4 linked regions of the Caenorhabditis elegans genome follow. The protein of the gene in region 4 purifies or fractionates together with the protein of the main gene of each other region. This does not show direct contact. Each region holds a gene or a part of one and is shown on either strand. Other genes may lie near its edges.

Region 1 (5,938 bases), on a different chromosome or scaffold from region 4:
CGGAATTGAAAATTTCCGGCAAACCGACAAATTGCCGAAATTGAAAATTTCTGGCAAATGGGCAAACCGACAAATTGCCGAATCTTCCGGAAAAGCGGCAATTGCCGAAAACTTCCTGCAAATTGCGGTTTTGCACATTAATGTTGGAAATTTTAGAATTTTATTTTTTTCCGGCAAATCGGTAAACCGGCAAATAGCCAAATTGCCGGAAAACGCCAATTTTTGAAGAAAAATCGACAAAATAAAGCTTTTAAATGGATATTGCTTATTTTTCACGCATTTTTGGCTGAAAAATAGGAGGAAAATAAGGATTTTTGATGTATTGTTAGAAAATTTTCCAATTTTCTATAAAATTAGCGTTGTTGAACATAAAAATCGTACTATATTCGATTAAAAACACACTTTTGAGCTGAAAATGTCCGATTTTCAGATTAAAAACGCTAGTTTTGATAACTAAAATTTTGTCGAAATTCGGCGAAAAATAGGATTTCCAAATAAGGAGTTGAAAGTGGCAATTTTCTATTTAAAAAAGCATTTTAGAGCTGAAAATTCGCAAAAAATGGAATTTTTGTGCTGAAAACAGAGAAAAAAGAAGCTCCAGCATCTATACTAACATGGAGCAGCTGCAGTCGCTGGTGGAGCTCCAAATGATGTCGTTGCCGCCGCCGCCGGAGCCGTGCTCGATCCAAAAAGTCCACCTCCAAGCCTGAAAATTCAATTTTAGATGCATCGAAAGCTCTAAAACCAACGTCGGAGCCGCCGATGTGGTCGATTTCGCGCCAAAAAGACCTCCAGTAGCCGGGGCAGTACTTCCGAACAGACTTCCAGTCGCCGGAGCAGCCGTTGATGCTCCAAAGAGCCCACCAGTCGGCGCGGGAGCTGCTGTGGTGGCTGTCTTGGCTCCGAAAAGTCCTCCAGATGGTGATGCGGTGGTTGTTGTCGAACCGAATAGTGGAACTGAAGACGTTGAAGCAGGTGTAGGAGCAGTTGTTGAGCCGAAAAGTCCTGCAGAAGCTGGTGCAGGAGCTGTCTGAGATGCTCCAAAGAGCCCTGATGACATGGCAGCAGCAGGCGCACCGAAGAGGCCTCCAGGCTTTGGAGCAGCAGCAGCCGTTGAGCCAAAAAGAGGTGTTGTTGAAGCAGCTGGAGCCGTGGTACTTGTACCGAAAAGCGACATTTCTGGAAAATTAAATTTTTATGGAGAAGAAAGAAAAGAAATTGGGAAATTATTGATTTTTAGACATTTTCTATTCAAAAACAGAGGTTTTTGATGGTTTTTCCTTCGGGAATTCGAATTTTCGAAGCGAAAATCACTTTTTTTTTTTGACAATTTCGCTCAGAAATCACAGAAAACACTTTTTAACAGAAAAAGTGATTTTTCATGAATTTTGAGATGCTTATCCAGATTTTAATGGAGAAAAAACGGTGGGGATTCGAAAATTGCCAAAGAAACGTTTTTAGCATCCAACATTCGATTTCCGATGAAAAATTATCAAAAATCACGAATTATTCAGGCTAAAATTGAGTTTTAGGGCATTTATCCCACGTGTCTATGAGAAAATTTTGAAAAGTCAATTTTAGCACAGAAAAATTCATCAAAATCGACATTTCTTAGAGAAAAATATCTGAAAATCAATTTTTGGAAAAAAAATAAACAAAAATATAAGTAAAAAGAGCTGGAAAACTCGAGAAATTGGAAATAAATCATTTTTAAAAACGAAGAAATCGGTTTATATGCAAACTACAAGACAAACGACAGGGTGGAAAACGAGAAAACGGGGAAAAATCAACAAAAATTCAAAAAAAAAAACGAGAGAAATTATTACAAGGAGGCGAGCGAATTGCGGTGAGCCGTGTATGCCTCCTTATTCTTCTCGTTGACACCCTCCACGTTGCGTGCCATCTCGATTGCCAGGTAGATGATCTGTAATTAATTATCGATCGATTTTGTATGGGAAAATGAGGGATGAGGGGTTTTTGGCTGGAAATTGAAGTTTTCCCAAAAATTTAAGCTAAAAACTGCAATTTCCAGCAACAAATCATGCCGAAAATCACAAAATCTGAGTTTTCTAGCTAAAAACTGGGCTAAAAACGCAAAAACTGCAATTTCTAGCTACAAATCATGCTGAAAATCACAAAAATTTCCAATTTGGGTCCCACTAACTCTTGGAACAACCACAGTATTTTCCGGACTGTAAGCCTTCGAAGCATGAATTCTCATCAGTGTTCCCATTGAATAATCGTCGACGATATCCTTGAATTGCTCACAAAACTCGCGCCATGTCTCCTTGGCTCCGCCGTCTTTCAGCAAACTCGTCGTCACCTCCTCCACATTCAAATCGGGGAATGAGCTTCGAAATGCGGCGAGAATCGCATCCTGATGCTTGTTGAGCCGAAGAACCCGAGTGTCACACCGCATTATCAGATTCATGTGAACTTCGGACCGTTCGCCGGCTTTGATCGCCCAAGCCATCTCGATCGATTCGTCGTTGACGTATTTATCAGCATCTCCGTAGTCAGTCATTTTGTTACCTGAAAATTTGGAAAATTAGAGAGAAAATTGACTTGAAACAGGAGAATTAGAAGAAAATCATGTAAAAATCTGCAAAAATTGCAAAAATCCAAGTTTTTCAACAAAATTTGCGGAATTAAATTACATTTCTATAATCCTACACACTTAAATAACATTTTAAAGTGAAAATTACGCATGAAAACTCTGAAAAAAGCCTGAAAATCTCTAAAAATTGCGAAATAAATTCGAATATTTTTTAAATTCTCCAAACTCCGCCCATTTGCAACTGCCGCACGGCGTTTTGCCATCCCCGCGCGCGCAGTGGGGATTCGATAATTAATGGAATAAAACCGATTTTAAATGCAAATTATAGCAAAAACAAACAATTTTTCAATATAATTTAACAAAAAAATAGCAAAAAACAAATTTAACATCATTCTTCTTCCCAATTTCCAACCAAAAGATTCCGAATATTCATTCCATGTAAGGCTGCGAGCGCGGCGACCTGCTCAGCCATTCTTAAATTCGGTTGTCCAATTCCTGATCGATATTTCTTGTCACCAATACACGCCGTCGCCACGAATCGCTTATCATCTCGTTTTACGACCTCATACGTGGCTTTTGGGATCTTCGTCTCCACACAATAGTCGTGAAGCACCATTTTGGGCGTTGGCGAGAAGCCGACCGAGTTTTTCAGGCGTTTTCTGCAGAAAATTAATGGTTTTTTGTTTAGGAGGAATTCTTACAATGGAAATGAGACTTCAATATTATAAACACCGTCATCGTCAACACGAGCTCGCTTCTTACTCTGTTTCTTCTTTCGTTCATCTCGCCATTTCTGAAAATTTCCAATTTTTCCGTAATTTTTTGTGTAATTTTCGAGCAAAAAGTTGCAGAACAGTGGGAAAAATCCAATTTTCGACGCTAAAATTGCTGTTTTACGTTTTTTTTTCAACTGAAAAGCTGAATAATTCTTTGAAAATCAATTTTTGTTCGATTTCCGGCATATTTTCTGGGTGAAAATTGAATTTTAGGGCAAAAAATGACTGGAAAAGTCAATTTAAGCCACGAAAATTGGATTTTGGATTTTCCATTGAAAATACATGAAAATATTGTTTTTCTTTTAACTTTTTGTGATTTTCATCAAATTTTTCAAATAAAATTGGATTTTCAAGTGAATTTTTGTGATTTTCAATGTGTTTTCCACACATTTTCAGTGCGAAAATTGCCGGATTTTCAGATATAATCCCGTACATCATATACATCCTCCATTCCAAACGCTTTACAAATCTGCAGTACACTTCCGGCGGCAACCGTCGCCTTTCCACGTGGATCATATTCCTGATCGGCGCCCAGAATCCGTTGAACAACGTATTTTGTCATAGTGTAAGACTCGTCGTATTGGCACGCGAGTTCCAGAAAATTTCGAATATCTTCGTATTTATCTAAACATCCTTCCCGACGGAAAATTGACGGAGTTGAGAGGGCTTTTCTGGCAATCATTGTACTACTTGTCTCGGTTAACAGCTGATATTTCTCAAAATCTGAATATTGCTCGATTTCGTCGGAGAGACCGCTGAAAAATGTATATATTAATTGTTTAATTGATTTTTGCGATGTTTTCTATTACGGGCAAGGGTGTCGGTTTTTCGATTTTCCTATTTTTCGCAAAAAATTTAGATTTTTCAAATATTAGCTTAATATTTTGCCATTATTCTTCTTTTTAGAAGAAATTTGTATGTTTTTTTCTTACAAATATAAGCAAAATTATATAAAAAAGTCATATTTTATGGTTAATTTTTTGAAATTATTTTTCGATTTTACAGAGTATCGAAAAATCGAAAAAATTTCGATTTTCGATTTTTCAATTTTCACTGAAAAAATTACGGGAGCACAAAAACTCTGAGAATGCGTAATGCGCAACATATCTGACGCGCAAAATATCTTCTACAGTAATCCTTTGGATGACTACTGCAGTTTTCGCTATGAGATACTTTGCGCGTCAAATATGTTGCTTGATACGCATTTTTGTGTTCCAATAATATTTATAAAACTCTTCAATTTTAAAGAGATACGGTAGTTTTAAAAATACGCAATGCACAAAGCTCTCGTGTACTCCGCGTGGATAATTTTTTTCAACTTTAAAAAATCTTTTCTCCTCGTGGAGTACACAATTTCTGCGTAAATCGACAAACTGCTATTTTAGAACTGGAAAATCTATTTTTTTTAAATATTTTTTAATGATTTTATTTGATTAAAAATCAAAAATCTTCTAAAAAAAATTTTCAAACTGAAATCCGGATTTTTTTCGAATTTTCCGGTTAAAACCCCGAATAATTACTTTGAAATAACGGGAATACTTTGAACCGCCTGTGCCACGTCACGAATCTCATCAATTCTACATTTATCCGGTTGCCGTTCATCACGCCGTCTTCCATGTACTCCTAACGCTGAAACTCTGCATTTTTCGATTTCCTGGACCAGTTTCAGAGTGTCTTCAGGGTCATCGAGTACTCGAATTTTACAGGTTACAGGGACTTTTGCAGCGGATTTTAGCGATGTTAGAATCTGAAAAATGGGATTTTTTTTAGTTTAGAAAGTGTGTTTTTTTTTCAAAATTTCCTCTTACATCGACAATTTTTTCGGTTTGAGTCAAAAGCGCCGCGCCCATTCCACAATGAATCGAAAATGGCTTCGGGCAGCCCATGTTGACATCAATTCCAGCCACATCATCACCACTGAATTTTTATTAGTTAATTATAAACATAAAGTATAATTTCCCACACAATCTGGGCGATTTTCGCCGCTTTTTCTCCGGAATTGGTGCCGATTTGCAGAATACAACGCCCTTTCTCCTCTGGTGCTAGCCTCAGAATAATATCATCTCCGTTTCGATAATCGATTGTTCCGAGAGCTTCATTGACAACTCGGGTCGCTTCAATTAATTTTTTATCGACGATTTCTTCGGTGTAGCAGAGATCCGCGCCATATTTCAGGCATAAAAGCCGCAGGGGTGTCCTTCCAGCACGAACCATCGGCGCCAAAATTTTCTTATTTCGATACAAGTCTGACATTCTGGAAAAATTCAAATTTATTCGCTTTTATTAATTAAAAAATGTTTTAAATAATAAATAAAAAATATTAAAAATGAGCAATGCAATCGCGCCCCACCGCTAACACTACTAGACATCGTTGCAAAGCGAGAGACGCAGAGTCTGCTACCTCGTGCAGAATCGATCCAAGAAGCGGCATTTCACACTAAATTTCTGTATATTTTCTATATATTTTATATATATTAGCTGTAAAAAAGAATTGAAAAAATCAATAAAATGTCGCCACTACCTCCACCACCAGATATTCAACACGAATTCGACAAAAATGTGAGAAAAACACAGAAAAATCGATGAATTTCATCGAAAAAATCCA
Region 2 (6,994 bases), on a different chromosome or scaffold from region 4:
TCCATCCGATGGTTTCTCAATTATATCTTCTAACCATTTTTCCATAACCAGCTTCTTTCCTTTACTAACTCCCAGTTCTCCAGAAAAAGCGATATGAATTGGAAGTGGTCGTGGAAAATCAAGCATTCTATCCCCATTAATTAATAATGATGGTACTGTGGTTTTTGCTAAATCCCATAAATCATCTTGGTCAGCACCGACGAACTCTGAAATTTTTGATTTTCGAATTGTTTGATCCCTCAGTACACAGCCATACAAACCTCGATAGAACAAATTCTCGTCAACGAGAAGATTTTGAGGAAGATTCACAAAATCAAGAAGTGACAGATGCCAAAGAGTATTTTGTACACGATCCAGAAATAATTGAGAGAAACCAGCTGAAAATGAAAAGTTTTGCTTACTAAAAAATTGAGCTAGACGCGTCAAATACCTGAAGAAAGTGGATGCGGAATCGTTGATGGAATCGTTCGAAGTCCAAGCTGTACAGCCGAGAATTCGTAAATTGATGTTCCATGTGTTATCCAGATTACCTTAATTATTTATTTTTTGTTTTAAAAATAAAACTCTGAACTATGAATCTTGTAAAAAGTAAAGTTCATCTCATAAATATTTGTGTTTTATTTGAAAGATATCGGCAATTTCAGTTTTCATCCGGATTTTCATGCAGTTTTCTAATCATGATTAGATATTATTAATTAAAAATTATTAAAAGTCGATAAAAATCATCAAGTCCTAAATTTAAGATACTCTTCTAGATCCTAATCTTTTCCTCTTCCACTTACTCTTTTTACATTCATTTTCTTCGCAATTGCAAGTGGACACAAATCATGGAAATGTGCAATGGCGACATCAAAACCGTCTTTCCTAAAATCTTCATACACACTTTCATCGTGTCGAAGCATTTGTTCACATGCTTCTACTCTCATATCTTTGAATTCTTGACCAGTCCACCATAAATCATGAGCATCTCCTGATTCGAACATCATTGATTGGAAGACCTGCAAAAACTTCTTAAATAGATATTTGGAATGTTTAATTGATTACTTTCAATCCTTCAGTTTTCAAAGTATCCGTGAAATGAATTGGTATTCTGTATTCAGAAACACCTTCCGGAAGTTTGTTATTTCCCGTGTCAAGCATCGCCATTTCCATTTGAGTCCACATTTTGACATCATGACCGAGAAATCTTAAATAAAAACTGCGGATTTTTTTTTGAGGTTATTTCTAAAACACAATTTAGCATTTAGCATTTTTTTTTCATTTTTATTAACTTTTTTTTGGTTTTTTCATAAAATAAAACCCTCGTTAAATATACCTGAGGGTTTCTGCAAGTCGGTAATTGAATAAAACATGAGAATTAGTGAAACCGGGTACAATTTGCAATATTCGAAGGGAATCGACAACTGACAGAAAAATACAAAAAATAGGTAGATACATGATCTTTCGACAATCTGAATTGTAACATTGAGAGAACGATTGGTAAAAGAGATAAGTAAGATGCAAAGGATTTGCAGGAGGTGTCTGATATGGAGAAATGATAATAAAAAGGGTCGAATGATCAGTGGTATCATTTGTTACAAGGACATCGTTTATTGATTAAATTCTTAAATCAGAACCCGTTTTTGAGAATAAGTTTTGTGATTTTCTTGCAATTAGCGGTACCTCGTATTTTACTCATTAGGAGTTAACTCAAACGATCAGATCAGAATAACAGAGTCCCAAAAAAGGCTTATGATTATTATATGTATAAAACCCAAAGTTAGTGATTTTTTCACCTCAACTGTCCCCTTCTGGAAATCCATTTTCCATAATACTCCCCATTTTCTCTTTCCCCGTCAATTTGTTACATGATTTATTCCTCATTTGAATATTTTTCCGGTTTTAATTATGTTTATGATCTCTAATTCCCTTTTTGTTCTCTTTTTTCTTTCTCATTCCGCTTGCCGGTCTCACTATTATTTTGTTCCTCTCTTTCTTTGTCGGACTCGTGGGGGCCTTGACCTTTTCTTGTTTGGATTATATTTTATTAAAAGAATAAAATCACTTGGGGCCATCCTCAAGGCAAGAAAACGTTGTCCGGCTAAAAAAAACAGTATTGAAAAAAATTTATTTAATTTAAAAAACAAAGTTCTTATTTGCGCTCGAACAGGAACAGAGCGCCTGCATAGATTGAGTCCATGTCGAATGACGTGCTCCAAAACTCCTTCTTGTGATGATCCGAAACCCGGCTCCAACCTCCGCCATTATGTATCCAAACGATTCCGTGTAAGCCTTCGGGTACTATCTTAACGTCCAGAAAGCCGACCAGCCGACAATGTTCTCCAAAGATGATGAATTCCTGGTTGTCCTTCATCCTCATTTGTTTGTAACGTCCCTCAGCAGAGTCAACATGGATCCATATGAAGTTCGAGTTGAACTTGTCGGCTATGATCTTCTTCTCGATCATAGCCGATTTTCCCAAGTGGTCCTTACATTCCCATGGCTTCTGGAGCACCATGTCGGTGAACGACTTTCCTTTTGGCAATTTCACACAGAAAAGTGGCCAATTCGACGGCTTCGGCTTTGTGCAGCCTTGAACACTGCAAACAACGTGGCTCTTGTACCGCATGGGATGGGGAACCTTGGCGTCGTTCTTACACTCTACAGCCAAGTCCTGAAATTTATATTGAACTGATTTTTTTTCAAAATTAACAAATTTAGATTAATATATCTTCGAAAAATTTAGTTCCTCTATTTAAATAGAAATTAAGGAAACTTCTCTAAATTATTCGCATTTTCATTCGCTTTTTTTAAAATTCGCCTTTTAATGTTATTTTTTATTCCAATTCTCGTTCTCGGTTTTTTTCTCAAAAAAACACCAAAAATTTGAAAAACGGCGGCCATATTCGACGAGGAAATACCATTTTTTTGATGTGACTGATTCGACCGGGTTACTGTATTCATGTGATATTTGCGCATCGAATATGGCGATAAAATAAGCACGCATGGTTTTGGGTAGTTACAAAATAAGTTACCGTATTTCCTCTATTAGTCTTGCATGCCTAGTTTTCAAGACTAATTTTCAATTGGTCCGTTAGGGTGCAAGACTAATAGAGACTGCAAGAATATTAGAGGTTGTAAGACTATTTTTCGAATGCCCAACAACCTAGGGAAAGCGACCATTTTCCAATATTTTATCTATTATTTGAACCATTTCATGTTTAATTTACTCAGAAATGGCAAATTTTCTGACGTTTCCGGAAAGTTTTGCAGGTCTAAAAAGTGGGATGGAAGACTATTAGAGACTGCAATATTTACTAATAGAGGAAATACGGTATTAATATCTGATACTCACTTTTAGCAAAATTACAAATGCAAATGACGGCGAATTGACTCCCTTGTGCAGCTCGCTACTGCTCAGCATTCCTCTCAGATGACCGACAACGTCTTTTTCACCAGAGAGCAGTTTCCTCAGCTCTTCATGCATCTCACCAACGCAACATGTACGGAGATGATCTTCAAACGAAGCACGCTTCAGAAGCTGCAATACAACGTTCATGAAGCAATCATCTCCGCCGTTACGAAGGGTAAGGCACGAAGACTTCACCCTATGAGGACGAACGAGCTGAAGACCTGAGGTGGCTGCATAATCTGGAGAAGGAACATCGTCAGCGTCTGGAGCAGAAACGCCGGCAGCAACTGGAGCAGCACCTCCGAATGGCATTGTAGTAGAACAATAAGAATAATAATGATTTCTAAAAAATGGAAATAAAATGCTTTCACGTTTTTCACGCCCTTTTTCATGTGATTTTGATGATGAAGTTTTATGATAAGATTAATCAAGTATGGAAGCGTTCGGAGTACACGTTTTCAGAAGATACATTGAAACAATGTTGTAAAAACAAACAATACATACTTTATTACAAAAAATATTGATAATTGACCATTAAAATATATTTTATTTGATCATATAATAATTTAATAAAAACTGTTAACGAAATCCTTATATTCCAGGCAAACTTGGTCTGAGCTGGTCTCGGCCTTCTTTGCAATCTTGCTCATGAAGAATTCAGCTTCTTTTCGAGACATACTCTGAAAATCATAATGTATTTTAACTATATATATGAAAATATGGAATTACATCCGAAATCTTCCTTGCATCCAGGTTCTTCAAAGCATCTTCAATGGCTGAATGATCGTCAAGAATGTTTGTTGTCTCATGCTTCACCATATAACGCATGTAGTCATGCTTCTGAACATGACCAGTTTTGAAAAATAGGTGAAATTGTTTTAAATTAAAATTATAACTTCATACGTAGATGGATCCAAGAGGGACATCGTCTCTTTGAGAGTACTTTCAACTGAAAAGTTATATCCTTGAGATTTGAGGCACAACTCGAAGTGCTCATAGTCTAGCCATCCATTCTTTTCCTAGAATAGTGACGTGGATAAAATATAATTTTAAATAATTAGCAAAAATACTTACTTGATCGAAATAATCAAAGGCTAATTTAAACTCGTGAAGCTGTTTCTCAGTGACTCCGTTGTGATTTCTATCTGCAATTGATTGCTCCACAGATCGCAACATTGAACTCATCAGCTCAAGACATTGACACATTTCGACAAGAACTCCATGTGGTGTGGCAGAAGAAAATGTGTTATCGAAGATGTAACGAGATTCCATAAGACTTCTCCACTTTTCCAGATCTTGAATCATTCCACTTTTCTGTACCTTAGCAATCAGATTCATAAGGCTCTTCTTCTGATCTTCTAGTCTCAAACTATGAAGCATCTCCAGCTCCTTCTTCACATCCACGATGACATTATCGCACGTTTTGAGGGTACAAGCGGCTTGTTCGCAGATTTTTTCATTATCGGAGTGTCGACTGATCTCTCCATCAACAATTCTAATACGGTCGGAAATTGTTTGATCAAGTCGCTCCATTCGGCTTGCCAAAGTTTTGAAGGAATGCGTAAAACGTTCTCCGGCTAAAAAAACACAGTATTGAAAAAAAATCATTTAATTAAAAAAGTTATCAACAGCGCTCGAACACGAACAGACAGTTGGTCGCGAATGAGTCCAGGTCGAATGATTTGTCGAAAAACGTCCGGTTGATGGCGACTCCGTTTCCAAAAAGCCGACAAGCCGACACTTTTCTCCATAAATGATGTGCTCCTGATTGGCTTTGATATTCATTTGTTTAGGATATTTATCGGCAGCATCAACAAAGATCCATATGAAATTCGAGTTGAACTTGTCGGCTATGATCTTCTTCTCGATCATAGCCGATTTTCCCAAGTGATCCGTACATTGCCATGGCTTGTTTGTTTGTTTATTCGAAGTTAGATAAATAGTAACAAAATGTAGTACATAGAAGATCAACGGGGAAAATCGAATAACACATAAAATAAGAAAGACCCGTCAGAGTCCATCTTAAGTATGAAAAAAGTAAATACTATTTGACAGAAGAGGATAAATCAACGAGAAATTTAAAAGTATGAGATTTGTTGGTTTATGAGGTTCATAAACTGGGAGGGGGAAAGGAATGTTGATACATTGTGAACTATACTGTTCCAAAGGGGAACGACAATAGAAAAGAAACCTTTGGACTTTGGATTGACTAGAGAAAGGAGCATCGGCCGACGTTGAGATCTGACATGCAAAATGAATCTTTTTGCACCTGGGAAATGTACAGCGCTTGTTATAATTTTATACAAGAGAATAAGCTGTGATTTTAAGCGTGTTGAGCGGGCTGTGGCCATGTTGAGAATGCTTAGGCGGTTTTTATATGAAAGTGAATAAACTAATGAGGTGTTTCTATGTGATGTTTCCGATACTTTGTATTGTATATTGTTACGTTGTAGTATTATTCTTGAGTAGTATTTGAGAGCGGATTCTAATGTACCTGACAGTTTTGAATGAGGGGGAGGGGAGTAAATGTGGGACCCATAGTCAAGAATTGGTGAGACATACGTTTTAAACAGGTTCACATAGAATTTAATGGAGCCAGAGGGGAAGGATTTTAGGATCTGTTTTGCCCTAAGAAATGCCAGGGAAGAGGTTCTATTGATATGCGATTTGAATGACAATTTATCGTCGGTGATAAGCCCGAGGTCTCTAACAGAGGAACTGGGGACGATGGGTAGGGAGTCAATATTGAAATTATGCCTAGGGTTTTGAGTTTCTATGTGGAGTAGGGCCGTTTTGGTGGGAGCAAGCGGCAACTGATTTTTCATAGACCAATCTACAATGAGATCAATTGTGCTTTGAAGTTCAATTGGATCGTGACTGAATGTTTTCACATCGTCCGCAAAACAAGAAAATTGAATAGAAGGGGGTATGGATAGGAGTAGGTCGTTCAAAAACAATATAAAGAGAAGGGGACCTGTAACTGTTCCTTGGGGCACCCCAGAAGGAATGGGGAGGAGAGCATTAGCGGAAACTGCTCGGCAAAACGTCGCAACTTCATAGCAAACTCCTGCAACTTAATAAAAACATTTATATAACTTTGTAAAAAGCTGTTAAGAAGTTGCGAAAACCAACGGGATTGTGAGCGAAATTTAGCTCTAAGAAATTGCAAAAATCGTCTGAAAAGCTGCAGAAGTTTGCTTAAAAGCTAAAATGCCTAATTGTTGTTAAGAAGTTGCAAGAGTATGCTATGAAGTTAAGCCGTTTTGCCGAGTGTGGAATTGATTTTGACTGAGAAAGTGCGATTGCTTAGAAAACAGGATATCCAATTGCAAAAGACGGGGTTGATGCCAAGAGATTTGATTTTAGAAATAAGTATGTCATGAGAGACTTTATCAAAAGCTTTGCAGAAATCGAAAAATATAATATCAAGACGTTTGTGTTCATGGAGTATAGAATGATAAAGAGAGGAAGATCGAGTGAGGGCTGCGGTGCAGCTCCTAAAATTTAGAAACCCGTGTTGATGTTTGGATATGAGGTGACCGTATTCAGACTTGATTCGGTGTGAAATAATTTTCTCCATTACTCTAGCAATAGTATCAGTTA
Region 3 (10,700 bases), on a different chromosome or scaffold from region 4:
CTGGGCATTTAGTTCGAGTAATCATCTTTTTTGAGATTTCATTTTTGAGATATTCAGAAAAGTTGTAGGTCATTTGAATTTATTGTCTTTCATTTTAAAAATTCATTTAAAAACAAAAATAAAATTTCTGGGCATTTAGTTCGAGTGATCATCTATTTTGAGATTTCATTTTTGAGATATTCAGAAAAGTTGTAGGTCATTTGAATTTATTGTCTTTCATTTTAAAAATTCATTTAAAAACAAAAATAAAATTTCGGGGCATTTAGTTCGAGTGATCATCTATTTTGAGATTTCATTTTTGAGATATTCAGAAAAGTTGTAGGTCATTTGAATCAAATGTCTTTCATTTTAAAAATTCATTTAAAAACAAAAATAAAATTTCTGGGCATTTAGTTCGAGTGATCATCTTTTTTGAGTTTTCATTTTTGAGATATTCAGAAAAGTTGTAGGTCATTTGAATTTATTGTCTTTCATTTTATACATTCATTTTGAAACATGAATAATGTCTCTGGGCATTTAGTTCGAGTGATCATCTTTTTTGAGTTTTCATATTTGAGATATTCAGAAAAGTTGTAGGTCATTTGAATTTATTGTCTTTCATTTTAAAAATTCATTTAAAAACAAAAATAAAATTTCTGGGCATTTAGTTCGAGTGATCATCTTTTTTGAGATTTCATTTTTGAGATATTCAGAAAAGTTGTAGGTCATTTGAATTTATTGTCTTTCATTTTAAAAATTCATTTAAAAACAAAAATAAAATTTCTGGGCATTTAGTTCGAGTGATCATCTTTTTTGAGTTTTCATTTTTGAGATATTCAGAAAAGTTGTAGGTCATTTGAATTTATTGTCTTTCATTTTAAAAATTCATTTAAAAACAAAAATAAAATTTCTGGGCATTTAGTTCGAGTGATCATCTTTTTTGAGTTTTCATTTTTGAGATATTCAGAAAAGTTGTAGGTCATTTGAATTTATTGTCTTTCATTTTAAAAATTCATTTAAAAACAAAAATAAAATTTCTGGGCATTTAGTTCGAGTGATCATCTTTTTTGAGTTTTCATTTTTGAGATATTCAGAAAAGTTGTAGGTCATTTGAATTTATTGTCTTTCATTTTAAAAATTCATTTAAAAACAAAAATAAAATTTCTGGGCATTTAGTTCGAGTGATCATCTTTTTTGAGTTTTCATTTTTGAGATATTCAGAAAAGTTGTAGGTCATTTGAATTTATTGTCTTTCATTTTAAAAATTCATTTAAAAACAAAAATAAAATTTCTGGGCATTTAGTTCGAGTGATCATCTTTTTTGAGTTTTCATTTTTGAGATATTCAGAAAAGTTGTAGGTCATTTGAATTTATTGTCTTTCATTTTAAAAATTCATTTAAAAACAAAAATAAAATTTCTGGGCATTTAGTTCGAGTGATCATCTTTTTTGAGTTTTCATTTTTGAGATATTCAGAAAAGTTGTAGGTCATTTGAATCAAATGTCTTTCATTTTTAAAACTTATAAACACACAGTGAAACTGAAAATAATTTTGTTTTTGAAAAGGATTATTTGGAAAGGTGACAAAACTGTTTTGAAAACAATTAATTTTGGCTCAGACGGGTTTAGTTTGCAGGAACTTTGTTAGTTTTCCACTACTGTCTATTCATATAATGAACTGAACAAAAAATCAAAAATGAAAAAGACAATCGATAAAAGGAGCCAGTTTTTATTGAGGAGAATTCCGGATGTTCATATATTTTCTTCCTACTTTCTAATCCATAATTTTTTTGTGCAATTCTACTAAATTCCCGTGATTTCAACTCGCCACATTCTTTGTACCATATATGATGATTGCTTCGTTCACATTACAAAAATCCCCTTTTTTCAATATTTATTCGCCTGGTTTCCCCCGTTTTTCTAGTTGCATCATGAGTTGAAAAATCCTTTCAATTTTTTTTTGAAAATCTGAATGAATTGTGATGAATATGTACAAGCTAATTTTTTATGCAAAACATTTTAAAAAAAACCAAATTAAATCCAAATATCCGATGTACAATCTCCACCGGGATAACGCATCTCGTGAGCCAAATAGGGACCTCCTTCAATTTTTCCAAAATCGATCAAAAAGTCTCGATTTATTTCCATTTTTCCAGATTCTGGATCAATGTTGACTTGAACCATTGTGGCGCCAGATCTGAAAAATGACAGGGTTGCAAACGCGCTCCATTGAGAAAGTAGGACGAATTTGGTGTTTTTTTTTTGAAATTATCATGAATTATTAAGCGGACGAAAAGAAACATTACCAAGTCTCGACGTGACTATTTTTTCAACGGAAAACGTGTGTGCGCCTTTAAAGAGTAGTGTAATTTCAAACTTTCGGTGCTGCAGCTATTGAACTGTTTTATCGATTTCTCATAGTTGTTCTTTTTTTTAAAAATTATTTAGACTAGAAAAACAAAGAAAAACATGAATTCGTGATAAAATCAACTCAGCAAGTGAGAGAGAATCGCTGCAAATATGAAAGATTTTTGAAACGGTGATTTTTTTTCTAAACAATAATTTCACCATGAGCGTATTTTTAGTGTAAACTACAAAATTCGAGATAATTTGTTTCGTAAGGACAAAGGTTCAATGAATAAAATGAATAAAAAAGAATTACATTTCGCGAATAGCCCCACAAGTGAGCGGAAATAGTTTGCTCAAAATATACTACATTTATGAAACGGTAACTTTTTTCTCAGAAATAATTCTAAATTTTTTCATAAGTAGCACTCACTTGACATGTTCTGGATAGAATTGATCATCCCATTTCTTGTATAAAGAAGTTGTAACATAAAGTCTCTTTCCATCCAATGACAACTGTAACATCTGTGGACCTCCTTCAATTTTCCGTCCCTTCACATAAAGTGCTTCAATTGGTTTTTCACCTTCTAGAACTTTTACATTTGATTCCGTATGTACACTTCCTCCAATATAAACTTGAGAATTCAATTTCACCTTCAATGGATCAGAAATGTCATATTGACGAATATCTCCATGAAGCCAACACGAGACATACAGGAAACGATCATCCATTGAGATAAGGATATCAGTTATAAGAGCTGGCATTTCTGGAAGAGCCCATCCACTTACTTTTTTAGAAGGAATGAAGGCAACGAGAGTAGCTGCATGGGTTGTTGAGTTCTGGAATTATTTGAAAAATTGAATGTTTCTCATTCAACGTATCACTGAAGATTTGTTTTCAGTAGTATTCAACAAACATTTGGCAACTATTTTCATACTGACTATCAGAATTTTGAGATTTTACAAGAAAAAAAATACAAAGTGTGTTAAAAGAACACCTCGAGAACAGGAAAGAAGCAACTTTTCTGAAAAACTTTATTTTCAAAAAGAGGTTATCGCGAACTGTCGAAATAAGTGTAGGTATATGCGCTGCCAAAATTATATTAACTTTTTGAAACAGTAAATTTTATGTTTTTTTGTAATTTTGCCTGAAAAGTTGGTGGCCATTCACAAAAAATAAATTTTTTGATCGAGCTTTTTTGTTTCAAGGGCACACTGCTGAAGTGGATATAATTTTATTTAAAACGTAATTTTTGTTTTCAAAAGTTTACACGAAAATCTACTGTTTCAACAAACTCATTTAACATCTCGCTAGAAAATTGTTTTCAATTGAACTGTGGCGTGACTTATCGACTGTTCTAAAAGAGCTTTAAAAATCATGAGACATTTAATGTTTCGATTGGCTGATTAAATGTTTCAAGTTGAACAAGGTGTCAATTTTTTAAAATTATATGTTTCAGATGATCTAGAAAACCCGGTGAGATTTCTAATTGTCACTCGAACTTGATTTCCAGTGAGACTATACTTTGCACAGAAAGGAATTTTTGTTTCGCAGCAATGCAGCAGAAGCAGAGATAATTTTACTTAAATCTGAAATCGGTTTTTTTTTCAAAAATTTAATAAAAAAGTCTATAACTCATTAAACATCTTACTTGAAAATTATTTGATTGCATTGACATTGCTAGAAAAACTAACAAAATCATAAAATTTTTAATGTTTCAATTAGCTGATTAAACGTTTTGGTTTGAATAAAGTTTCACTGAGACTATAATGTCCGCGCTTTAAAATTATTTTTTAGTGTCGAAAAAAAAATATTTTTTCTTTCTTTAATTGACCGAGTTTTCTTGATTCACAGTCACGCAGAAAAAATCGATTTGAACTTTTTGTCAAAACTAAATGCATGCTGCTTTTTAAAAAAAGGTTCATCAAAAATCTACTGTTTCACTAACCTAATTTTAAAAAACTCGGAAAAATACGTTTTTAGTATTTGCATCATTGTTAAACGTTTAATGAATCTATAAACTGATTTAAAAATAAATTATTAAAAACACTCAAAGATATTTTTTAAAAATTATTATATGTTTCAAGTAGTCTATAAATACTGAAACTATTTTGAATTAATATTGGTTCTTCCAAATGAAAAAAAAGAAAAATAGCAGTTTGGTCTACACAACTTTCTCTGAATTTCAAATTCAAATTATGCCCTAATCATGTATGCCAAAGCATTAAAGGATTTGAAATGTACGAAAGCGCTCTGATTTTCTCAAAATGTCCACATTTTTCTCGAAAGTTAGTCATTTTGCCAAAGAACTTGCTCAGAAAACTTCGGGAATGAAAAAAAATCAATTGAATAGAACGGAAGTTTTGATAACAACGTATTGAAACAATTTATTTATTTTTAAACTTGAAAGTTTCTAATGCAATGTTTCGGTGATCCCAGAAAGTTACACATCAGCTTACAACACTGCTATTCAATTACTGACAACGAAAATATCAGTACTATTGATAAATTGTCAACTCCCCCTACGAAGATCATTTATATTTGATTTCATACGTTTTTTTGGATTAGCAAATGAAATAAACTTCCAATAAGATACAATATGATAACCTATTGAAACAGTTTTCTAAAAGTTTTCTAAAAATTCTTTTCAATATTACTCACCTCCTCAACAGGATGAATTCTAAAAACCGGATCTATTTCAATAGATGACAGGAATACCAACAGAACTAAACTAAAAACAACAGAGTGTGTTATGAGGACAAATTGAAACTGAAAAGTTTTTTGAATGTTTCAATGTTTTCGTAAAATCACGGCATTGATCTCCAAAACTGTTTAACCATTTTCAATTGACTGAAACTTTTGAAAAATCAAACACTCTACTGAAGAGTTTTCATGGAATAAAATTTGAGTACTCTGGAAGAAGCAACAGTTTTGGAAACTTTGCTACCTCCCAATCAAGGATGTGCGGCAGTTCTCAAAATTTTCCGAGCTCGGCAAATTAGTTTTACAATAATTTTAATCTTGATTCTATTCTACGGTTTTAACATATTAATCTCAGTTTCTAAACAAATAATAACTTATTGAAACATTTCAATTTTTCTGAAAATTCTATTGAATATTACTCACCTCCTCAACAGGATGAATTCTAAAAATTCCTGATCCAAGAGCACATCCCACAAAAGCGTGCTCACTGGTTGGCTCATGGAGGAATCGAACTTCAAGTGGAAGTGCTCCAAGTGGCTGTGGTAGATCAATTGTTTGAAGATATTTCTTAGAGTCCCATTCGAAAATATGAACACTGTTTCCGTAGAGACCCTCTCCGACGTGAGCTGGAAAATTTCATGTTTTAAAAAAATTTGTAACTTTTTGGTTTTTAGTGATGCTGATGGCTCATGCCGCAAGGAATAATTTTAATTTTTGGTAAAATGAAACAAGAGGTGTTGAAACAGTGATTTTTTAAAAGTATTTTCAGTTTTCCCACCTGGATTAAATCCCTTTTTAATATGATTCGGTGATCCCCATTCCGTAGAAATCATCACATTTCTCCTTGGCTGGTACCAGAAATCATAGTTAAACGGAACAGTCTTCTCGTCAGCTGGCCATGTTCCTTTCGGCTCAAATGTCTTTCCATCCAACAACAAAAAGTTACCAGATGGAGTTCCATTAGCTTCTCCCAAAGTACTAATCATAATATTTCCATCGGCAAGACAATGTGAAGTATGTGGAAATGAAAGGTTTAGAGAATGAAGTTTTGATGGTTCAATTGTATGTTCAAGATAGATTTTACGCTCATTTTCTACGTTGATAATGTAGATACGGTCAGAGTTCAGGCAAGGAACGATCAAATGGGATCTGAAATTATTTAGAAATTATTCTACTGTTTTGGTTTGTTAATGAAAGTTCTCCGATCTAAAAATTTATTGATCTTTCAGTTGACTGAAATGTGAAGTTTGTAAATTCGAATTAAAAAACTGTTTCAAGAAATTGGTTCAAGTCTAACTAAATTTATAAAAATGATCTTCTCGTGAATGTCGCTCTGATCTGATTTTATTACAAAGCTTTTGCATCCGTATCAAGGGTCGTGGAAAAATTTAGGTTTATCAGTTTTTTCTTGAGAAAATCTAAAAATCAGAAAAACAAACAAGGGAGAATCTATAGATTTATCAAATATATGATGATTTTGTTTGAAGAATAAAAAAAAACATGTTATTGTGACCACTTTTTAAAAAAAAAAAGTCGGAAAACCACACTTCAAAAATGAAAATTTAATTAAAAAAATTTTTAAACAAAACTTGATGTTTCGAACAGTTGATTTAATTTTGCCACCTGTACTAATAGAGTAATAGTATCATCCTAAAACAATAAATATTTTAACTAACCTCTTCTCAGTTGGTTTGTCATGACAAGAAGAGCACGCATTCCATCCAGTATGATGGACTTCATCACCAATATGTGGCACATCAACTCGGCTGATCACCTGAAAATATTAATTTTACTGGAAAATGTTATGATTGATCGATCTCTAAATGCTAAAACTACGAGTGGATATCAATATTTTGAAACCGATAATTTTTTCAATTAAATAATAATTTTTAATTTTTACTATACAATCATATATCGTGCAAATCGATTTAAAACTCTTAAGCTTGAGATAACCTTGAAATCAGAGAGATCAAATCAAAGTTTCCTGATTTATTTTTGGCTGATGCAACAGAGATGAAAATTGCAAAATTGCAATTTTATTCCGGTAATTTGAACAATTTTTCTGATATAGAAACAGTTATTTCAAGCTTTATGGACGTGATCTACAAAAGACAATCAAAAAATTAGTTATTCCTAAAACTCAATACGTCTTTTTGAAACAGTATTTTTTTCCTCCAAACAAGAAAAAAAATCAACTTTACAAATAAAATTTACCTGACAAAAAGTGTCACTCTCTGGATTCACATCAACTGTAAAAATGGCATCAGGACCATCAGCTGCATTTGGAGCAGTCACAAATAAAACTTCTTCTCGTGGTCCTTTTATAGCATCAGCTGGAGATGCATATCCTGGACCACCATGACATTTTAAACCACAGTTTGGGGACATTTTGGTTTTTGGGATTTTTGATCTGCAAATATTGACTTTTTTTTAAAATCAAACAATATAATCAAATCAGTAGTATGGATTAAAAAGTTACATACATACAATTTTTTGCTGAATTAAACTATAGCAAAATTAAATTTTTTTCAAGTTTGACACTATTTTTGTAGCTTTGAAAACAAGTTGCACGAAAACTTTTGGGCAAACATTTTTAGCTTCAGAAAAAATTACTTTTTTTGTCACAGCTCTAAAAAGGGGAATGTAAAAATTAAAAAAAAAATACAGCGAAAATTTGTAAGTTAAAAAACTAACGCGGATGTAGCAAAACCAAAAAAAACTGAAAAATGTGAAACTTATAAACACACAGTGAAACTGAAAATAATTTTGTTTTTGAAAAGGATTATTTGGAAAGGTGACAAAACTGTTTTGAAAACAATTAATTTTGGCTCAGACGGGTTTAGTTTGCAGGAACTTTGTCAGTTTTCCACTACTCTCTATTTATATAACGAACTGAACACAAAAATCAAAAATGAAAAAGACAATCGACAACAGAAGGGGATGACATTGATAAGGTATCACTAGCTGTTCTATGTCTTATCTCTAGCAGTCATCAAGATGATTGTTCAATGAACCAACTAGAAATCTACTAGAAACACGTAGGAAATTATTCTGATACAAACTACAAGTACCGTTTCTGGTTGAGATTAATTTTTGAATTTAGAGATGAATTTGTGAACATTGTGTGACTGATTCAAAGTGCACAGATATTTTGATAACATTTTTTTTTAATTTTGGAAAACCGATCTGACTACAAAACGTGAATTTATTTGAAATTGAAAATAGTGAGTTTTTTCGTTTTTAATTTATCTTCTGATACTAGGCTTAACAGAAAAATAATAAACAATTATTCAGGGTTGTGCGCGCGACAAATTCCAAAATTTGAAGGACAAAATTATTGATGAAGATGGGATCAACTGTAAATTATTGAAAATCTCCATGAGGATTCCTTGAAACAGTAAAAAAATGTATCGCGAATATAGCAAATTTTTAGAAAAACTCAGCTTGGGTTAATTAAATTTGCAAATTTCTTATTACGTTTTCCACTAATAAAAAGGTTTAAACAACAATTTTATTTATTTTTTATTTATTTTAGGTGCTGCAAACGGCAAACGGCAAATGTCACTCGCTAAAAAAAATTGGTCGACGATGAAAAAAAAACTTTCGGCGTCTTTCAGCATGCGAAATTTTTTTTATTTTTATTTTTTTTTTATTATTGGAAATATAAACAAATTTGAATATTAAGTTGTTCATATTTCCTCATGAGAACAGTCATTCAAATCCACCTTAAGCATAAAAATCTCCACAAATATATGGGGAAATTACAGTTAATATTGCTACATGTTAATACTGTTACAATACTAATAGAAAACTCATACCAATAGTAAAATGAGGCATGTTATCAATCTTTCATTTGAATTTTATTGGATTTTCACATTGCTTCTCATTGTATTATATAAAATTTATTGAAACGCCTAATGAAGTTTTAGTGAAATAGTTAAACATTTTTTTGCAAACTTTAAGCAAACGTAAGCCGTTAATAGCTTAACTGTTAACTGGTGCAATTTTGCTTAAATTTGCAGTTTTGAAGTTTTTCTACAATCGGTAAATTTATTCACATTTCAAGTTAGTCTCGATTTGAAATGCAAGTTGAGCGCTTTTAATATGTTTTTTTCACATAAAATTTAATATTGGGGTTTTTTTCAATTTTTCCGATTTTTTAAAAACAATCAATTTTCAAAATTTCTAAGTCAAAATTTCTAATCAAGACAAATTTGGTTACAATTTTTTAAAACATTTTTTGCAAAAATTTTGGCACGGTGAAGTACGGTGTTTCAAAAAAAAGTATACAAAACAGTGAAGCAAGCAAAAGTCTGTGAATTAGACAGAAATGAAAATTTAAAAATACATAAAACTGAAGCGCAACGGTGGGAAATTTGTAAACCGCCTAATAAAAATGTATTGAAACACTGCAACATACAGTGCGTCCAACTTCTATAGCACCCCCCTCTATTTTGAGTGTTTGAGGCTTTCTGGAAATTATTTTGAAAAAGTGTGAATGTAGTTCGATTACAAATGTTAAAAAACCGCCACACCTCGGTTTTTGTGAGAATATCTTAAAAACTACGGAAATTAGGTCAAAAAGTTGAAAAAACGGCCGTCCAACTTCTATAGCACCCCCTCGAATTTTTGACAATTATCGTTAAAATAGTCAATTTTTACTGGTTTTCTTTAACACTAATTTTTTTGTAAACCGTAGGAAATTTGTAAACCGCCTAATAAAAATGTATTGAAACACTGCAACATATATTCCCAAATGTAGAAATATTTTCAACAGACTTTTGCATTATCTTTATTATTTATTTAATTTTGTTAACCCTTGTATATAATAAAGGAACGTTTCCAAACAATTGGTAAATTTATTCAAATTTCAATAATTTCCGATTTTTATTATAATTTTAACAAATTAAAAAGGCTAACTAGGGACTCTTTTTTTGATGTCCAGAGAGTTATGAATTATATGTTTTCTGAAAGCTAATGAAATGAACATGTCAAATTCAAAATAAAACCTTGCCCAAATTGATGTTAAGACGTTTTTTTTACTCCGAATCCGTATTTAAGTCAAACGGTTGTTGTTTTTGAAGCTTCACATCTTGATGGACTTCGAAGATACAAAAAATAATCAACTAACAAAATGTTAAGAACAATATGAAAATTATTATAAACTATAATTGCATTCGATATGTTACATGCTCCTGTAGTTATAAGCATTTAAAATATTGGAAATTGGCTTAAACAAGTGTCATTGTATAAATTAAATTGCGACGTCTAATAAAGTTTTAGTGAAACAGTGAAATATTTTTCTGCAACTTTTGAGAAAACTTTAGTTATTATTAGCCTAACTGCTAATTAGCAACATCCTGTGAACTGTTGAATTAATACTGACACTGTTTCAGACAATTGGCAAATTTAATCAAATTTCAACTTAGTTTTAATTCTGTATTTCCAATCCCAGCTTTTGTCAGCATTTTCACAAATAAAAAGGTTTTATGTTTATTTGTTCATTTTTCTAATGTTAAAAAAATAATCTTTGAATTTTTCGATATGCGTTTTTGAACATTGTGCTACTCGGATGTGTACAATTCCAGAATGTGCAGATATTTTAACATTTCTTTAAATTGAAATTACTGAAAGTCGGTTAAGCTACAAAACGTGAACTCATAAGACCTGTA
Region 4 (8,599 bases):
TCCAGACATATGAGCAATTATTGGAACGTTCCACCTAGGCGCGAGTCTTCCAATAACCAACATTTCTGAGAAAAAAGAATTACTAAATAACTTGAACATTCTCAAAAGCATTACCATTATTACAACCGGGTCCAAAATACACTGAAGCATTTTTCAAATAATGAAGGAAAGCAGCATGTTCAACTCCCGAATACTTGTTGCAACTTTCCATTGTAAAAACACTAAAATTGGAAAGACTTGTTTTTTTTAAATTCAAACTTCTTACGTTAAAGTATAATTTTGTGGAAGAATATTTCTCATTTTCAAATCGTCTGCGCACATTTTTAGAACATCTGGTTCGTGTGCTATAATAGGGTTCGTGGGGTGAAGGTGACCTATTCGAACAATCCCTTCTGCTGAAACAAAACAATAATTGTTTTATATGTATTTTATGAAAAAGATTGCTCACAACTAAGTGTAGTTTTCACATGTTGATTGATTTCGTCATGACTGATTTTACTGATAGATCTTCTTGACTCCGCAAGTAGCAAAGAAGAAATGAAAAATAAATATAAACGCATTTATCATCTCATATGAGGGGCATTTATCCCGCAAACAGTAACAATTCTTATATATTTTTTACAGGAATGTGTTGATGGAACGAATTCCAATATATGTAGAAGTAAAATGTAAAAAATTCGGAGTAGTTGGATTGATGAATCTCCGAAGGAGGTGTGAAGTCTTATGTAGCCACTCACTTCTTATCATGCCGGAAGGGCCCATCGGAAGTGGATAGATGGGGTTTAATGGAAAGAAGGCAAGTGTGTGTCACAACAAGCGTCGAATCCTACGTTTTTCTGATGTACACTGATGACTAGGTTGTTGTGAATACATTAATAGGATCTCAGCGTAGAACTATGACACTGTCTAATGCAACATCATCGAAACACACGAAAATACTTTTAAAAAAACAAGCCGAGTTTTTTTTTTGGTAGTTTTCAGAATTTTTAACAGTGTTATTCATTTACCAAGTGTACTCCCTATTAGTTATACAGTGTGTAATTTTCTTGCATTTCTAAGAGTCATCCTAATATTAGAACTTCAATCAGTATTTCAATAATTCGGGACAAGACAAGGCGTACCTTGTAGAATTTTCAGATAATTCTTCAATTCCTGAAAAAATAAACCTAGACTTGTTCAAAACGTTTACACATGTTAGCACTTGTCTTGCTTTTTACAACTTAAAAGGCTACTAGAGGTAATACGGGGAATGATTGTGAGACCAATTTTAATAAAATACGTTTCTATGAATCTCAACTTGGGATCAAATAAAAATATATATGCAAAGTCTTTCTGAATAAAACATGGTTATACAATGATACGCGGTAAACTATGAAAAACGGTAATTGTAATATTATGAACCAGCCGTGGTCCGCACCTTCGGCGCGGCCCCCGACTTCTAGGGCTGAAAATCAATTTTTATGAAACTACCGTAACCCTACAGTATTCCTACCGTACCACTATTGTACCACTACAGTACCCCGACTATATCCCTACACTAACCCCAACTCACTATCCCTCCAGAAGTCAAAACTTCACAGACTACAAAGACTACATAGACTACAAACTATGGACACACAGAATAAGCGCTTTATATTATATATAGTAAATTATCATGAAGAACAGAGACATATGAAACAAAAATATCAATCAAAAAACCAACCAGCTTGTGCTCAAACATCTTCTGTTTTTTTAACTTAGTAAATTTTAGTCACGCTAACAGAAATTCCGTACTCTATGAATTTTGTGAACTACAGATTCTAGTGATTCTAGATTCTAGTGTATTAGTTTAGTTATAGCATGGATTCGATTGCATTTTTTCAAATGTTTTTTTTTTTGAAAAATAAAACGAATTTTTGCTCTTCAGTTTCCCAAAGGAATTTCCACCTCACCATCAATCTGTGCAAAGTTCTCCCACTTGATAATCTTTTTTAAATGATCTGATATCAATGATAACAAAAGATAAAAAATATCGGACACAAATCTCTGAATTTTCTTTTTATCTCTCAATATGTCTGAGAGCGCATTGTTTCAATTCTCAAAAAAACCACACTGCAACATTGTCGTAACCTCTTGGGTCAAGTACGCAACGTGTATGCAGATCGGCCCTCTTCTTCTCTTCCCACCGCACACTATTTCACTGTGCACATTTACCTTTTTTGACTGTTTCTTGAGTTCTGAGATGGTATCGTTTTTTCTCGCCGCCTTTTTTCTCGACATTAGCCTTCTAGAAACACTGGACAACGACGCAATTTCGTCCTAGCTGATATGAAAGATGACTATCTTCGACCGACCTTGGCACACACACACACATACACAACATACACAAAACGCTCTCACATTCAATACAGCCACACACACTAAGCGCGCTCAGACACACACAAAAACGGACAGGTCGACTACACCGATTCGGCACGCCTCCATTAGTTTTCCTCGCATTCTCTTTTTCATTACAATGCACTTTTGTCGTTCTTTTCTATCGAAATCCTTTTTTTTTTAAATTTTTTCCATATCTAACTTTCCAGATATGGCTTTCAACAACCTTATCCGCAACTTGGCTATCGGAGATAACGTCTACAAATACTTTGACTTGAATGGTCTCAATGATGCTCGTTACAGTAAGTATAACTATTTTACATCCTATTCTCAATCTATCTAAAATATATCTGCATATATTCAATTTTGGAACTTTTGTAAACGAAAAAAAAAACAGCGAATTTCGACGAGCAAGAATAAATTCATTATGTTAAAGTCATATATAAATCATTTTCTTTAAAAACCTTCCCAAAATTTTCAGACGAGCTTCCAATCTCCATCAAGTACTTGTTGGAAGCCGCAGTTCGTCATTGCGATGAGTTCCATGTATTGAAGAAGGACGTGGAAACCATTCTTGATTGGAAAAACAGCCAGCGTAACCAAGCTGAGATTCCTTTCAAACCAGCACGCGTTATTCTCCAAGATTTTACGTGAGCTTGAAAATAAATTACCAAATTTATGTACATCAAGCAATTTTCAGTGGAGTTCCAGCCGTCGTAGATCTTGCCGCTATGCGTGACGCCGTTCAAAATATGGGTGCTGACCCGGCCAAGATCAACCCAGTATGCCCAGTTGACCTTGTCATCGATCACTCCGTGCAAGTCGATCACTACGGAAAGTACGTTCTGCGCAACCTGGTTTATACATTTATTGTATTTTTTTCAGCCTTGAAGCCCTTGCCAAGAATCAGTCCATTGAGTTTGAGCGAAACAGAGAACGCTTCAACTTTTTGAAGGTAAGGAAAGGTGAAAATGCCACTTTCAGAGTTTCACTGTCACGTTTTACTCTCCCCATCACTTTTCGGAAAATCACGCTATGCATTTGATTGCCCTTATCACTACTTTGTTCAATGAACACACAAATATTCAGATAGCTTAAATGAAATTGTATTATCAAATTATTTTCAGTGGGGATCCAAAGCTTTCGACAATCTTCTTATTGTACCGCCAGGATCTGGAATCGTCCATCAGGTTAATCTTGAATATCTTGCCAGAACAGTGTTTGTTGGAAAGGATGGCGTTCTCTACCCTGACTCCGTCGTTGGAACCGACTCCCACACCACAATGATTGATGGAAGTGGTGTTCTTGGATGGGGTGTTGGAGGAATTGAAGCTGAAGCTGTGATGCTCGGACAGCCAATTTCCATGGTTATTCCAGAAGTTATTGGATACGAATTGGTTGGAACTCTCAGTGATACCGTTACCAGTACCGACTTGGTTCTTACAATCACAAAGAACCTTCGTGATCTCGGAGTTGTTGGAAAGTTTGTTGAGTTCTTTGGAACTGGAGTTGCATCGCTCTCCATCGCCGATCGTGCAACAATTGCTAACATGTGCCCCGAATATGGAGCAACAATTGGATTCTTCCCAGTCGATAGCCGTACCATTGACTACCTCACTCAAACCGGACGTGATACCGATTATACTCAACGCGTGGAACAATACCTCAAGTCTGTTGGCATGTTCGTCAATTTCACCGATGACTCCTACCGCCCAACATACACTACCACTTTGAAATTGGACCTTGGAAGTGTAGTGCCAAGTGTCTCCGGACCTAAGCGTCCACATGACAGAGTTGAGCTTGCTTCTCTGGCTCAAGATTTCTCCAAAGGGCTCACTGATAAGATCTCCTTCAAAGCTTTTGGCCTTAAACCAGAAGATGCCACTAAATCTGTCACAATTACCAACCACGGAAGAACCGCAGAGCTTACTCACGGGTAAGACTATAAATTAGAAGTACATGCAAAAAATAATGTTTCTTCCAGATCCGTAGTTATTGCTGCCATCACATCCTGCACAAACACCAGTAACCCAAGTGTCATGCTCGCAGCTGGATTGGTTGCCAAGAAGGCTGTTGAGTTGGGATTGAATGTCCAACCATATGTGAAAACATCCCTCTCTCCAGGATCAGGAGTCGTCACAAAATACCTGGAAGCATCTGGTCTTCTTCCATACCTTGAGAAGATTGGATTTAATATTGCTGGATATGGTTGCATGACATGCATCGGAAACTCTGGGCCACTTGATGAGCCAGTAACAAAGGCCATCGAAGAGGTATTGTTGAAACTACTGTTTTCTTTTCAAAATAATTGTTTATTCAGAATAACCTTGTCGTTGCCGGAGTTCTCTCTGGAAATAGAAACTTTGAAGGAAGAATTCACCCACATGTTCGTGCTAACTATTTGGCATCTCCACCTTTGGCTGTTCTTTACTCGATCATCGGAAACGTCAATGTTGACATTAACGGAGTTCTTGCTGTTACTCCTGACGGAAAGGAAATCCGACTAGCCGACATTTGGCCAACCAGAAAAGAAGTTGCCAAGTTTGAGGAGGAATTCGTGAAGCCACAATTCTTCCGCGAGGTGTACGCTAACATTGAGCTTGGATCCACGGAGTGGCAACAATTGGAGTGCCCGGCTGTCAAGCTTTACCCATGGGACGATGCCTCTACTTACATCAAGAAGGTTCCATTCTTTGATGGAATGACTAGCGAGCTTCCATCACAATCCGATATTGTAAACGCACACGTTTTGTTGAATCTCGGTGACTCGGTAACCACTGATCATATTTCTCCAGCTGGATCAATCTCGAAGACCTCTCCCGCCGCCAGATTCCTTGCTGGACGTGGAGTAACGCCAAGAGATTTCAACACTTATGGAGCTCGCCGTGGTAACGATGAGGTAAGAGTTTATTCATTCAATATATGATTTTCTAAAAACTTTGAATTTAACAACACATCACGTTTTTTTTTAAATTTCAGATCATGGCTCGTGGAACATTCGCCAACATTCGTCTTGTTAATAAGCTTGCGTCGAAGGTTGGTCCTATTACACTCCATGTGCCATCTGGAGAAGAGCTCGACATCTTTGACGCTGCTCAAAAGTACAAGGATGCCGGAATTCCAGCCATCATTCTTGCTGGAAAAGAATATGGATGTGGCTCATCTCGCGATTGGGCTGCAAAGGGGCCATTCCTCCAAGGAGTCAAGGCTGTTATCGCTGAAAGCTTCGAAAGAATTCATCGTTCCAACCTGATTGGAATGGGCATTATTCCATTCCAATATCAAGCTGGTCAAAACGCTGATAGTCTCGGACTTACTGGAAAAGAACAATTCTCAATTGGAGTTCCAGACGATTTGAAGCCAGGACAGCTCATTGATGTGAATGTATCCAATGGTTCAGTTTTCCAAGTCATCTGTAGATTTGACACTGAAGTCGAACTCACCTATTACCGCAACGGAGGAATCCTCCAATACATGATCAGAAAGTTGATCCAATAAACTGTTATTTTAGCTTAAATTTTTGAAAGTCAATTTTTTCTATTTTTAGATAACTATTTACTTTTCGATGCATCAATCCTTCTCTATTTTCTGTGATATTTTATGAACATGTTTGAAGTCCAATAAATTTGTGATTTGGAGCAACGAAATAAATCAATACTTTTTATAATTGGGCTATAAAACATGTGGATGGTCAAATTTATTTTAGTTTTGGCGTCTCTGTTTTGCTAAAACCACTTAAATTCGTAATATTTTACTAAAACTCAACAAATAACGTATTTCTACTATTTATAGGAGAAAGAAATGTGCTTCCAGTTTGACAGTGTTTAGGATATAACATTTTGCAACTTTTTCTTAAAGGTCGTCATCACTAATTGTATTTTTTGTTCTCTCAGTCATAAGAGTATAAATAAATAAGAAAACATCTTCATTGAGAACAACAAAATTGGGTGTAAAAGCTCAAACATTCTAGTTGTTTGAACAAAATGAACAGAGAGATTACGGTATTTATTTGTACTGAACTGACTTTTTATAGACTAACATTTCAGCAGTTCATTCGTACTATTCAGTCCCATTTAAAAGTGCACACTCACCCAATAAAATCTCAGTTGCCCTATAGCTAACATCACTAAAGTAATATGAGACCCTTGCCAGCGCAAAAGATATTTTTATTTCAAAATAAGTAAATTTTGCATAACTTTACGTTCTTTGCCAGAGAAATGAATGAAGACTGTAATAATTGACCGCTTAGCCGTTCATCAAACAAATAGAAGAGTCGGGAGGAAGTATAATCTTTTGTGAGTAAATGCAACACCTTTCCATTATTAGTCGACACTTTTTGATTTGGAATTAATTTCTGAAGCTTTCCCTCTACAAAATGTTATATTATTCTTGTGATAAAATTTCTCATGTTCCACCAAAGGAACACGCATGTAAAAAATTTACAATCCATGTATCAAGGTTATTCACGCCATTTTTGTGTGTTTTGCGATACTTGACAAAGAAAAATCAAGAGGTGTTTGAAGCAAAAACAATTCTTCATGTTTTTTGTTTTCGCTCCATTTTGAAAACGAATGCAACAATCGGTTAAGCCTCTTTTCTTTCACACAATATTTCGTTTTTGCGGACTCATTACTTTTTCAACTTCACTCATCAAGTGTCGCTTTTTCGTTTTCTTTTCCGGACTTAGTAAGTCATAACTCTCATTTTCTTGATGACCGCTAACTGCAACTGTCACTTTAAATTAATTAATGAATGAAGTTCTGCTGCATTCTTTTTTTCATTCCCTACTCCATTATCTTGTTTTTTCGATGCATATTTCGAATTATTTGTAAAATAATTATATTTAAATATCTTGAATATTAACTTGAAAAAACTAAACCTTAATAAAAAAAAATTATCGTTATTCAGTATTTGTTTTAAGAAAGTCAAATTTATATATATATATATATATTTTCAACATCCTTATTTGTAATTTTCAAAAATTAATTGAAAAAAAAAACCCAACAACTTATTTTTTTGTCATAGCTTTTATTTCAGATATTTTTTTTTGTTTAACAATATTTTTCCGGAAAAAAAGTCACTAAAAACCGAAAGTCATAAACCTAAAAATCACTTCATATGTTGAAAGTATGCATTTTATGGATATCTCAAAAGCAGCTTTATTCAGTATAAAATTTCATTGAGTTCATTCAATTTCAAACATTGGTTAGCTTTTGATTGCCAACTTGATCATTTGATATAAAAAGAAAAAACCTCGGGCGAAAAAAAAAACACACAGAAAAGTTTAATTTGTTAGTGTGTGATGTACCCAGACATTCGGAATCGACAGTTGTTAGAAAATTGAAATGACGAAGAACACGCACGCGGTTTGATTTTGCGTATATATTTTGTGGAGGCTGTCATCACCTTCACGTTGTTCAGCATTTTTCGCCTCCTCCTCCGGGTTTCTTCTTGCGTTTCATGCACTGGTCATCATTCAAAGATTGGAAAATATTCCGCTGGACGAGAGACTGGACAAATGAGTGGCGAAGAAGGGAGAAAAAGAGAAAGTAGCCAGCCCGGGGCACACGCGTGGTGCACACACTTTAGTACTTTTTCTAGCGGTCTTGTTGTTGTTCAACTTTCCGTGTTTTCATCATTTTTTGTTAAAATTCACAATTGGTCTTTGATGTAATACGTTCCTAAATAGCACCTAAAATGTCACAAATTTTCCTTTTTTATTCAAAAATAGAATGCCATCATTATTGAAACTAGTCCAATTTTTTCATGAATAAATTAAACGTGTGTGTTTTAGGATTATTAAGGCCTATAACGACACTCAAGTGATACATTTCGTTCTGTTCACACAATTGGAGTTTTTTACCCGATTTCTGTGTTCTTATCATCTTTTCTCTTCCTCGTTCTCACTAAGGTATACTCAAACTTCATACTCTCCCACTCTTAATAGCAATTTTCCATTGTCGGAAAACATTTCGTTTCACATGTTCATTTATGTTCAGGCTTTGTTCAGTGCTATGAACTTTCTTTATCAAATTTGTTTAGCAAATGCGTTCTTTTCCGCCAACAATTTAATTATGCCCCAGAAAGCGGAGGGAAACATGACAAGCTTTTCTACCTAGCTTCTTTTGAGCACCGACTTCAAACTTTTGCAATGCGCTTTAGAAAACTTTTTTGTTCATTAAGTAATTCACTCCTACTCATAGCCCTACCATTTACGAATTGAATTTATTCACTCTTTCCAAAA

What was found.
Region 1: the proteins of aco-1 (region 4) and Y54E5A.5 fractionate together in Caenorhabditis elegans (co-fractionation; one large-scale study listed by BioGRID). This does not show direct contact.
Region 2: the proteins of aco-1 (region 4) and C07A9.13 fractionate together in Caenorhabditis elegans (co-fractionation; one large-scale study listed by BioGRID). This does not show direct contact.
Region 3: the proteins of aco-1 (region 4) and semo-1 fractionate together in Caenorhabditis elegans (co-fractionation; one large-scale study listed by BioGRID). This does not show direct contact.

The regions. Positions count from the first base shown.
Region 1 is NC_003279.8:14,705,344-14,711,281, forward strand, and holds Y54E5A.5 (Polysaccharide biosynthesis domain-containing protein), read right to left. Parts: upstream 2,533-5,938; 5' UTR 2,525-2,532; coding exon 2,165-2,524; intron 1,925-2,164; coding exon 1,823-1,924; 3' UTR 1,716-1,822; downstream 1-1,715. Other genes in the region: npp-4 (Nucleoporin p58/p45), read right to left, coding at 615-706, 750-1,177; dus-2 (DRBM domain-containing protein), read right to left, coding at 2,946-3,216, 3,259-3,350, 3,767-4,088, 4,854-5,080, 5,142-5,250, 5,297-5,586; gid-1 (B30.2/SPRY domain-containing protein), read left to right, coding at 5,842-5,892.
Region 2 is NC_003281.10:9,677,567-9,684,560, forward strand, and holds C07A9.13 (USP domain-containing protein), read right to left. Parts: upstream 3,741-6,994; 5' UTR 3,704-3,740; coding exon 3,335-3,703; intron 2,654-3,334; coding exon 2,132-2,653; 3' UTR 2,093-2,131; downstream 1-2,092. Other genes in the region: Putative UDP-glucuronosyltransferase ugt-60, read right to left, coding at 1-206, 261-377, 431-530, 783-998, 1,045-1,186, 1,316-1,437; putative calcium-binding protein C07A9.5, read right to left, coding at 3,958-4,071, 4,121-4,231, 4,288-4,410, 4,466-4,968, 5,038-5,263.
Region 3 is NC_003282.8:14,047,938-14,058,637, reverse strand, and holds semo-1 (Methanethiol oxidase), read right to left. Parts: upstream 7,439-10,700; 5' UTR 7,417-7,438; coding exon 7,243-7,416; intron 7,144-7,242; exon of another isoform or gene 7,123-7,143; intron 6,845-7,122; exon of another isoform or gene 6,824-6,844; intron 6,803-6,823; coding exon 6,705-6,802; intron 6,690-6,704; exon of another isoform or gene 6,669-6,689; intron 6,643-6,668; exon of another isoform or gene 6,621-6,642; intron 6,364-6,620; exon of another isoform or gene 6,343-6,363; intron 6,271-6,342; exon of another isoform or gene 6,246-6,270; intron 6,178-6,245; coding exon 5,807-6,177; intron 5,730-5,806; exon of another isoform or gene 5,709-5,729; intron 5,655-5,708; coding exon 5,452-5,654; exon of another isoform or gene 4,987-5,451; intron 4,902-4,986; exon of another isoform or gene 4,877-4,901; intron 4,814-4,876; exon of another isoform or gene 4,793-4,813; intron 4,667-4,792; exon of another isoform or gene 4,646-4,666; intron 4,470-4,645; exon of another isoform or gene 4,448-4,469; intron 4,330-4,447; exon of another isoform or gene 4,309-4,329; intron 4,144-4,308; exon of another isoform or gene 4,123-4,143; intron 4,106-4,122; exon of another isoform or gene 4,085-4,105; intron 3,843-4,084; exon of another isoform or gene 3,822-3,842; and 20 more.
Region 4 is NC_003284.9:11,337,310-11,345,908, forward strand, and holds aco-1 (Cytoplasmic aconitate hydratase), read left to right. Parts: upstream 1-2,564; 5' UTR 2,565-2,566; coding exon 2,567-2,657; intron 2,658-2,836; coding exon 2,837-3,005; intron 3,006-3,055; coding exon 3,056-3,193; intron 3,194-3,240; coding exon 3,241-3,310; intron 3,311-3,482; coding exon 3,483-4,291; intron 4,292-4,339; coding exon 4,340-4,628; intron 4,629-4,675; coding exon 4,676-5,254; intron 5,255-5,334; coding exon 5,335-5,853; 3' UTR 5,854-6,018; downstream 6,019-8,599. Other genes in the region: Receptor-type guanylate cyclase gcy-9, read right to left, coding at 1-65, 115-221, 266-395, 449-560. UniProt on the Caenorhabditis elegans protein: Catalyzes the isomerization of citrate to isocitrate via cis-aconitate. Has probably no RNA-binding activity.